Linked DNA regions of Oryctolagus cuniculus. The protein of the gene in region 2 purifies or fractionates together with the protein of the main gene of each other region. This does not show direct contact. Links are inferred from orthologs where the notes say so. Each region holds a gene or a part of one and is shown on either strand. Other genes may lie near its edges.

What was found.
Region 1: the proteins of PPP1R12A (region 2) and RHOA fractionate together in Homo sapiens (co-fractionation; 3 studies listed by BioGRID and IntAct, with this or other methods). This does not show direct contact. The link is inferred for Oryctolagus cuniculus from reciprocal best matches to the Homo sapiens genes PPP1R12A and RHOA.

The regions. Positions count from the first base shown.
Region 1 is NC_091441.1:99,830,976-99,835,327, forward strand, and holds the start of RHOA (transforming protein RhoA), read left to right. Parts: upstream 1-1,482; 5' UTR 1,483-1,759; intron 1,760-4,352. Other genes in the region: TCTA (T-cell leukemia translocation-altered gene protein), read right to left, coding at 546-600, 931-1,153. UniProt on the Homo sapiens protein: Small GTPase which cycles between an active GTP-bound and an inactive GDP-bound state.
Region 2 is NC_091442.1:82,588,431-82,592,054, reverse strand, and holds part of PPP1R12A (protein phosphatase 1 regulatory subunit 12A), read left to right. Parts: intron 1-1,393; coding exon 1,394-1,515; intron 1,516-3,624. UniProt on the Homo sapiens protein: Key regulator of protein phosphatase 1C (PPP1C). Mediates binding to myosin. As part of the PPP1C complex, involved in dephosphorylation of PLK1. Capable of inhibiting HIF1AN-dependent suppression of HIF1A activity.

The DNA.
Region 1 (4,352 bases), on a different chromosome or scaffold from region 2:
CCATTGTGGCTGTTTGGGGAGTGAACCAGCAGATGGAGGATCTCTCTCTCTCTCCCTCTCTCTAACTCTGCCTTTCAAACAAATAAATAAATCTTAAAAAAAAAAAAAAAAAAAGAAAGACATCTCTGGCTCCTGCTGTGAGCAGGGCCTGGGTTGTCATTGTTTTCTGGGTCTTCCATAGCCCCCATCAGAGATTAGTTTTATAAATGACCCTAGTGAGGTCAGTTGGTGGGCTAAGTACAGCGGCTCCTGCCTTCCCAACTGAGGCTTACAGGGAGTGGGATCCAGAAGATCTGTTAGTTCATCTTTCTGAAATTATGACAGTACCACCCCCCCACCCCCGGACAGCTCAAGTGCTGATGGACTTTCCAGACCTTGGTGTCAGCCCAGCCTAAACCCTGACCTCTACATGCAGACCTGAAGCTTGCTGCCAAGGCCACTGTGCTGCTGGATTTGTGCCCTGACAACTACCCACCCCATCACCAGCACGGGCGTGTTCTCTGCCTGCCATGCATGGGGCTGGGATGGGGGACGGATCTACTCACCACGAAGGGAAATGTGTGGAGCCATCAGGTGTGGATCCATTCTGGCCGCCCAGACCTGAAGGCAGGAACACAGCCAGAGCTGCAGTAGACTGGGGGTGGGGATCTGGGCAAGCATCAGCCCAATTCAGGGTAGGGGCCGCTAGTGGAATCTGCCAGGGGTCCTGAGTCTGGTGACGGTTCTAGAGATCAGTTACAACGTGATGGGCGGAGCGGTGGGGATTCTGGCATAAAATGATACGGTATGATAGCATAGGTCAGGGTAAAATACTAAGTTCTGACGATCTTGGTGGACTTCTGGTAGTCTAGGGGGATTCTGAGGAACCCAATGGTTCAGTCTGGTGGGGGCGGGGGCGGCCAGCTCACGGAGGTTCATAGGGAGCCTCACCTGGGCGGTGATACAACCCGGTCACCGTGTTCCCGTAGAACCCCCACGCCAGCTGGATGCCCAGGAGACTTAACACCAACCACAGCAGCAGCAGTTTGAAGAGGGTCACACGCATGTCCTGCGCCTCCCACTCCCGCAGAAACTCGCTGCCCAGCGCGCCCAGCGCGCCTAGCACCGTGGCCGGCAGAGCCTGCAAAGACTGTCCAGACCAAGACTCCGCCATGACCGGCCCGCGCCCCACCCGGGGTACTGTCACCGTAGTGCACACCGCGCAGGCGTAAGGTCTTCCGGGGCTAGGCCCGTTAGTGCGCACGCGTAGAACCAGGCAGGGCGGGCCTACCTCGCTTGGGCGAAGAGTTGGCAGTTTAGGGAGGAGTATTAAAACCGCGCACGCGCACTTAGCCCCACCCTACTCCCTTAAAGCATGAGTGACTCCCGGAGTATAAAATAGCAACCGGGTCTTTTATAGCCCCAGAGTTCCCGTGATGCCCCACGCGGCTGTAATGATTGGTTGAGCGTCTTGCTTTTAGGGCGTGGACGCGCGCCTGAGCTATCGTGGCTGAGATGTGAGTGTGCGCGCGCGCGCGGGGCCGCGACCAGGGCCGGCTCGAGCCCGCTGGGCGCTCGGGGACGCGCACGTCGCTCCCCGCCCTCCCGCCGCCGCCCGCCCTCGCTCGCTCGCGCTCCCCGCCCGCCACCCGCCGTCCTCCGTCGGTTCTCTCGGTAGTCCGCCGTCGCCGCCTCAGCTACCCGCCCTCGTCTCCGAGCTTGCGACTCGCGGACAGGCGTCCTCGGCGCGAAGAGGCCGGACTCGGAGTCGTCGCCCGAGGTGAGCGGGAGGATCCCCTCCTGGCGCCCCGGGCCCGCCCGCCCGCCCGGCACTTTTCCGGCCGCCCGCCCGCCCGCCGCCCCGCCGCCCCGCCGCGGCCGCGCCCCACCTGCTGCTCCCGCCCGGCCGCCCCCGGCCCCTGACCCTCACTCCAGCCCGGGGCCCGCGCCCCGCTCCCGCGGCCCCGCCCGCGCCGGCCCCGGAAGCGCGCCCCGCCGCCTCCAGCGCCCCTTCCCCCGCCCGGCCGGGCCTGCTGGAGCCCCAGCCGCCCGCCCGCCCCGGAGCTTCCTCTCTCACGGCCGCGCGGGGCTGGGCGGGGGCTCCTGGCCGCGCGGCGCGGCGCAGCCGGCAGCCGCAGAGCGCTCGTGGCTGTCGGAGTTGAAACGGGAGAGAAACTCTTTACAACTCCATTTTACCTTTTCCATCTGCTGTAGCACATGAATCACCGTTTTATGCAGAAGTCCGGCTGTGCTTTGAATAGATTTGCCTTTTTTTTTTTTTTTTGATGCGGTATGCTTGGAGAGAGTCTTAAGTAAAAAAGCTTGTGTTGAGGTCTTAGGACTGCTGCCTGAATTGGGGCGGAAAAGGGTGTTTTCCAGTTGAAAATTTTTAATGATTTAAACAACGTTGCATTAAAATGCAGGTAGTTTTGCCTGTGGAAGTTGCTGCCTTTTATTGGGACTCACCTAAACATCTGCCCCTGGTTTTGGATAGGATACACAGTTACAGGGTGTCTGCATTAAATAGCATTGTTTGCCCCCAGGTCGATTTCGTTAAATGCAGTGTTTTGTCATTTCTGGTGGAAGCTTGCATCCTTTTTACCTCCGTGTTGCTTCCTGTTGTGTTTCCTAGTAGTCCTGTTCTCAAAATGTTAGACTCTGTTGGTCACTTGTTCGGTTATTTCTGCCTTTAAGACGATCTTTTGAAGTAAATGTGTCTTGCAGGTGTGCAATCAGATTAGATTCCTCTCTGCCAAATCTGAAGGGGAAAAAAATGTCAAAGCCCCAAACCTCCATATTTTAAAATGGTGTATATGGTGAGACTTTTTCAGCCACTTAGTGTCACACACCCAGGCTGGGTTGGTGGAGATGTTGTATGTGGCACAAATGACATTGTTTGGGCTGAAACTTACAAAGACTAGTCCTTAATTGAAGCATCTCTTGATAAATTTCTAGAGACCCTTTAAAACTACAAATCTAAGGTGAATTTTAGACTCCTGTGAGTCTATGCCACTTGTCATTGTCACTAGTAGCCATAATGCAGTTGGACCCAATGTGTTGTCTATAGCAGTCCATCAAGTCCAAATCAATTCTAAAAGTTTAGGTTAGGTTTAGGTTAGTTCCATCTACTTTTGTAGAGCACTTTATGGCTCTTGGGGACATAAAATATGTAAGATGGAACTTGGTTTTAGTCAAAGTCTAGTACTAGGTTTACTGTCCTCATAAAAATCTGTACTGGAGAGAATAGAGTAGGATTATAACATCGATCAATTATCTTCATAGACCTAGTACTAAAATGAATTAAAATCATGTAGTCCAATCACATCTGCAGATGAGGAAACTGAGTCCCAGAGACTTAATTAAGCAGGATCATACTGGTATTATCTAGCTAGAAGCAGGCCAGAACTGTTTGCTCTGCAGGATATTCTCAAATACACTCCCAAACAGCTGGACTAGAGTCAGCTAAACTTTGGGACTTACTCTACCGTTTTTTCTTTTATACCTTGCTGACTTTACATAGATTGGGAGAATGTGAAAATTGATTTGCCAGCCAAATTTCAGTTCCTTAGCTGTCACAGCACTCTCCGTAACGGGATGGTTCCGCTGCAGTCACTTGTGAGAAATACCTGAATATACCTGCAAGGTCCTTGGCTGCCTATTCCTGGCTTTAGGTGTTTGGGTCTCAAGCGACCAATTTCCGGAGAGAGGCCCAGGCCTGGCTGCTCCAGAACCAGCCTAATGAGGTCAGGCTGAGATGTTTTCAGACAACTGCGGGCTCTTTTGCTGACTCCTGATAGGGGCAGGCTGAGGAAGGAACTGTACATATCAGGGTAACAGTCCCCTGTGCACATGTGTGTTGTGGTGGTTTTTGTTAGAGTATTTTCATAGTTTTGGTTCCTATGCTGTCAGCCAGTTAAGTTTTAAAAGTTTATCCTAGGTATATGGGGGCGTGAGTTATTAGGAAAGTAAAAACGGGCAGATCTTAGGTGTGTGTTGTCGATAGGGTGATATGCAAGTGGTTAGTTGCTACTTTGGGTCTTCTTAATTGTCTTTATTTTTTTTTAAGATTTTAAAAATACATATTTATGTATTTGCAAGGCAGAGTTAGAAAAAGAAATCTTCCATCTGCTGGTTGGCTTCCCAAATGGCTAAAACGTCTGGGGTGGGGCTGGACCAAAGTGGGAAGCCTAGAACTCTGTCCAGGTCTCCCTGGTGGGTGGCAGGGGCCTAAGCACTTGAACCATCCTCCACTGCCTTCCCAGGCACATTAGCAGGGAGCTGGATCAGAAGTGGAGCAGCCAGGACACACTTGTGTTAGCGAGCTGAGAGATATATTAACTCTGAGAGCTAAACTAGAGAATTAATTTGGGCTT
Region 2 (3,624 bases):
TGCAGGGGCCCAAGGACTTGGCCATCTTCTACTGCTTTCCCAGGCCATATCAGAGAGCTGGATCGGAAGAGGAGCAGCTGGGTCTAGAACCAGCGCCCATATGGGATGCCGGCGCTTCAGGCCAGGGTGTTAACCTGCTGCGTCACGGTGCCAGCTCCATGAAATTGTTTTAAACTAAATCACTTTATATATATATATAATATCCTTCTTAGAACAAAATATAATCATTCTCAAAAAAATATTTCTTTCTCATTTATATATTAATGTTTTCTATTATTTCATTTAAACATCCTATTTAAATTCTAGTCAGTTACTACTTCAGAGATGAATCCTAAATAAAAATATTTCTAATTATAGGCTCTTCATCCTTTAAAAGATAAATCTTATAGTATTAGTTATGATAATGTTACTAATCATGTTGGTAAACATTAGAAAATTAAGTGTTTTCCAGTTTTCAGATAGATTTTCTCCTGTTGGTCTTTGAGATATTTCAGTTCTATTTAAGAGGTATACATAGAGTTTTGGGAAATTTTGAGCCAACATTTAAAATTAGTATTATTCACAAAAATGTTTAGATTTCTGCATTCTCTTATGTCTGCAGTTGGCTGGAACTAAGCAGTAGCAGTCCTGTACTCCCTTGATTAGTTTCCTCTTGACCCATTAAATTCATTTGTATTACTTGGATGGCCACTGTAGCATGGAAGTTTGAGTTCTTTTCTCTAAACTGATCCTTAGCAAAAACTACTCAATAATATACTGTTTTTCTGAGACTCTCTGCTAATGACAAAGTCTTTTTTAAAAAATCACTTTTGTTCCACATATGTTTACCATTTTTTAAGCACATTCAGAGGCCCTATTATTGTTCTGTTTAGTTGGCCCAAGGAAGAAACAAAAGTCTTCAGACTAATATTTTATGTGATTTATTTTTGATAAAAAGATGTATATTTTCCAGATTAAAGGGTTTGTTCTTAGATACTAATAGAAATAAAATTAATACTATATTACTGCTAAGTGAAGACTGGCAATAGTGTAAGCAGAAACTGATAAGCTTGTACAGTTTCAAATAGCTGTTCCATCATTGAGAATTCTTGCTGTTTTTCTATTAGAATGTTAGCTTTAAGAATAGCTATCTCTCTATCGGACATTAGTAACATTAGTAACTGAAACTTTGTTCTTTTCATTGGATTCATTATTTTCTGTTAAGCAAATACTGAGCCAGATTTTTATAGTGTAGGAATTAGGAAAATGAATAGGAGCGTTGAGAGGGACAAAAAATAATTTTAATTAGAGAAATTTATTAGGCTTTGCAAAGGAGATGGATTTAAAATTGTTTTGACATTTGCCTTTTAAAGTACTAACAAGATAACATATGGTTCATTGTCTTTCTTAACAGAAGGAGAAAAAAGAGAAGAGGAAAAAGAAGCAGAAGATAAGTCACAACCAAAATCAATCAGAGAACGACGGCGGCCAAGAGAGAAAAGAAGATCTACAGGAGTTTCATTTTGGACACAAGATGTAAGAATCTGTTAAAATACAACTATACAACTGCTTGATAGTATGCTTTATGTTTTCAAAAATACACATTAATAATTTCTAGTGTGACAGATTATATATTCTTAAATCATCACTGTTTTCTGAGTTTGGTTGTTAAATGAAAGTTCTTCTAAAGTTACTTGGATTTTTGGTACTACTTAAAAAACGTGAGTTCTGGGGCCAGCTGTGATACAGCGGGTTTGAGTCCTGGCTGCTCCACTTCTGACCCAACTCATGCTAATGTGCCTGGGAACGCAGCAGAGGATGGCTCAAGTCCTTGGGCCCCTGTATCCACATAGGAGACTGGAAGAAGCTCGTGATTCCTGGCTTCACATCAGCACATTTCCAGTCGTTGCAGCCATTTGGGGAGTGAACCAGCGGATGAGAGACCTTTCTCTCTCTCTCTCTCTCTTTCTCCCTCTCGTTCTACCTCTCTCTGAAACTCTTTCAAATAAATCTTTAAAAAAAAAAAAAAAGTGTGAGTTCTGTCCCTGTTGAGTTCTTTCTCAGTTTTGGAATATTAATGGCTGCAATTCAAACCACATATATTTTTTATTATATCCTGGCTAAATTGGTCCTTTACCTTAAAGGTTCTTGTAAGAAACATGCATTGTGGGCCAGCGCCACGGCTCACTAGGCTAATCCTCCACCTTGTGGCGCCGGCACACCGGGTTCTAGTCCCAGTCGGGGCGCCGGATTCTGTCCCGGTTGCCCCTCTTCCAGGCCAGCTCTCTGCTGTTGCCAGGGAGTGCAGTGGAGGATGGCCCAAGTCCTTGGGCCCTGCACCTGCATGGGAGACCAGGAGGAGCACCTGGCTCCTGCCATCGGATCGGGGCGGTGCACTGGCCGCAGCGTGCCAGCCACGGCGGCCATTGGAGGGTGAACCAACGGCAAAAGGAAGACCTTTCTCTCTGTCTCTCTCTCTCACTGTCTACTCTGCCTGACAAAAAATTAATTAATTAATTAAATTAAATTAAATTAAATTTAAAAAACATGCATTGTATTTAATCCAATTTTTACAAATATCCTTAAAAGACCTACATAACTGAATTATTTCTATCTCAAGGGATGCTGGATAGAAGCAGTACTTTACTTAGAAAATTTTAACAATCCTATAAAATTAATTTTTTTCCTGATCCTTCATTGTATGCTTGACATTGCTTTTCAGATGTAAGAGACAGAACTGTAGGGTAGCACTGCTAATATGAAATTTGTATTCTTTCAATATAACATATAACTACAGAAGAGCAATAATTTGGCTTTTTAGCCCATTTTTTCAAAGAAAAACTTTTATTGAATTATGATATGTAAGGAAACATAGTTCAAACTGTATAGCTTTATTAATTAACACAATGCAAATGTACCTACGGAGTCACCACTCAAAATGAGAAATAAAAACAACAATGCAGATGCCCCTATCTTCTCCCTTTCATTTCCTATGTTCATTTTCAAAGTCAACCAGTATTCTGACTTCCAATACCATAATTAACTGTTGTTTTTGAGGAGCATATGAGTGATTTTTTTAAAGATTTATTTTATTTATTTGAAAGAGTTACAGAGAGAGGTAGAGACAGAGAGAGAGGTCTTCCATCCACTGGTTCACTCCCCAGATGACCGCAGTGACTGGAGCTGCGCTGATCCGAAGCCAGGAGCTTCTTCCGGGTCTACCACCTGGGTGCAGGAGCCCAAGGACTTGGGCCATCTTCCACTGCCATCCCAGGCCATAACAGAGCTGGATCAGAAGAGGAGCACCCAAGACTAGGACTAGCGTCCATATGGAATGCTGGCGCTTCAGGCCAGGGCTTTAACCCACTGCGCCACAGCACTGGTCCCCATATGAGTGATTTTTAACTCAAAATTATGAGTTGCATTCAGGCCATTGGATGTAGCAATGCATGTACTTTTATTTCTTAAAAGTTTTTGTGTTTTTAATCTCTAACTCTCTTCTTCCATGGAAAGAACATGGGATCACCTGACTTCCTGCTGAACTGATTTTTTTTTTTTTTTTAAGATTTTTTAAATTTATTTGAAAGAGTTACAGAGAGGCGGAGAGAGAGAGAGAGATCTTCCATCCACTGGTTCACTCCCCGA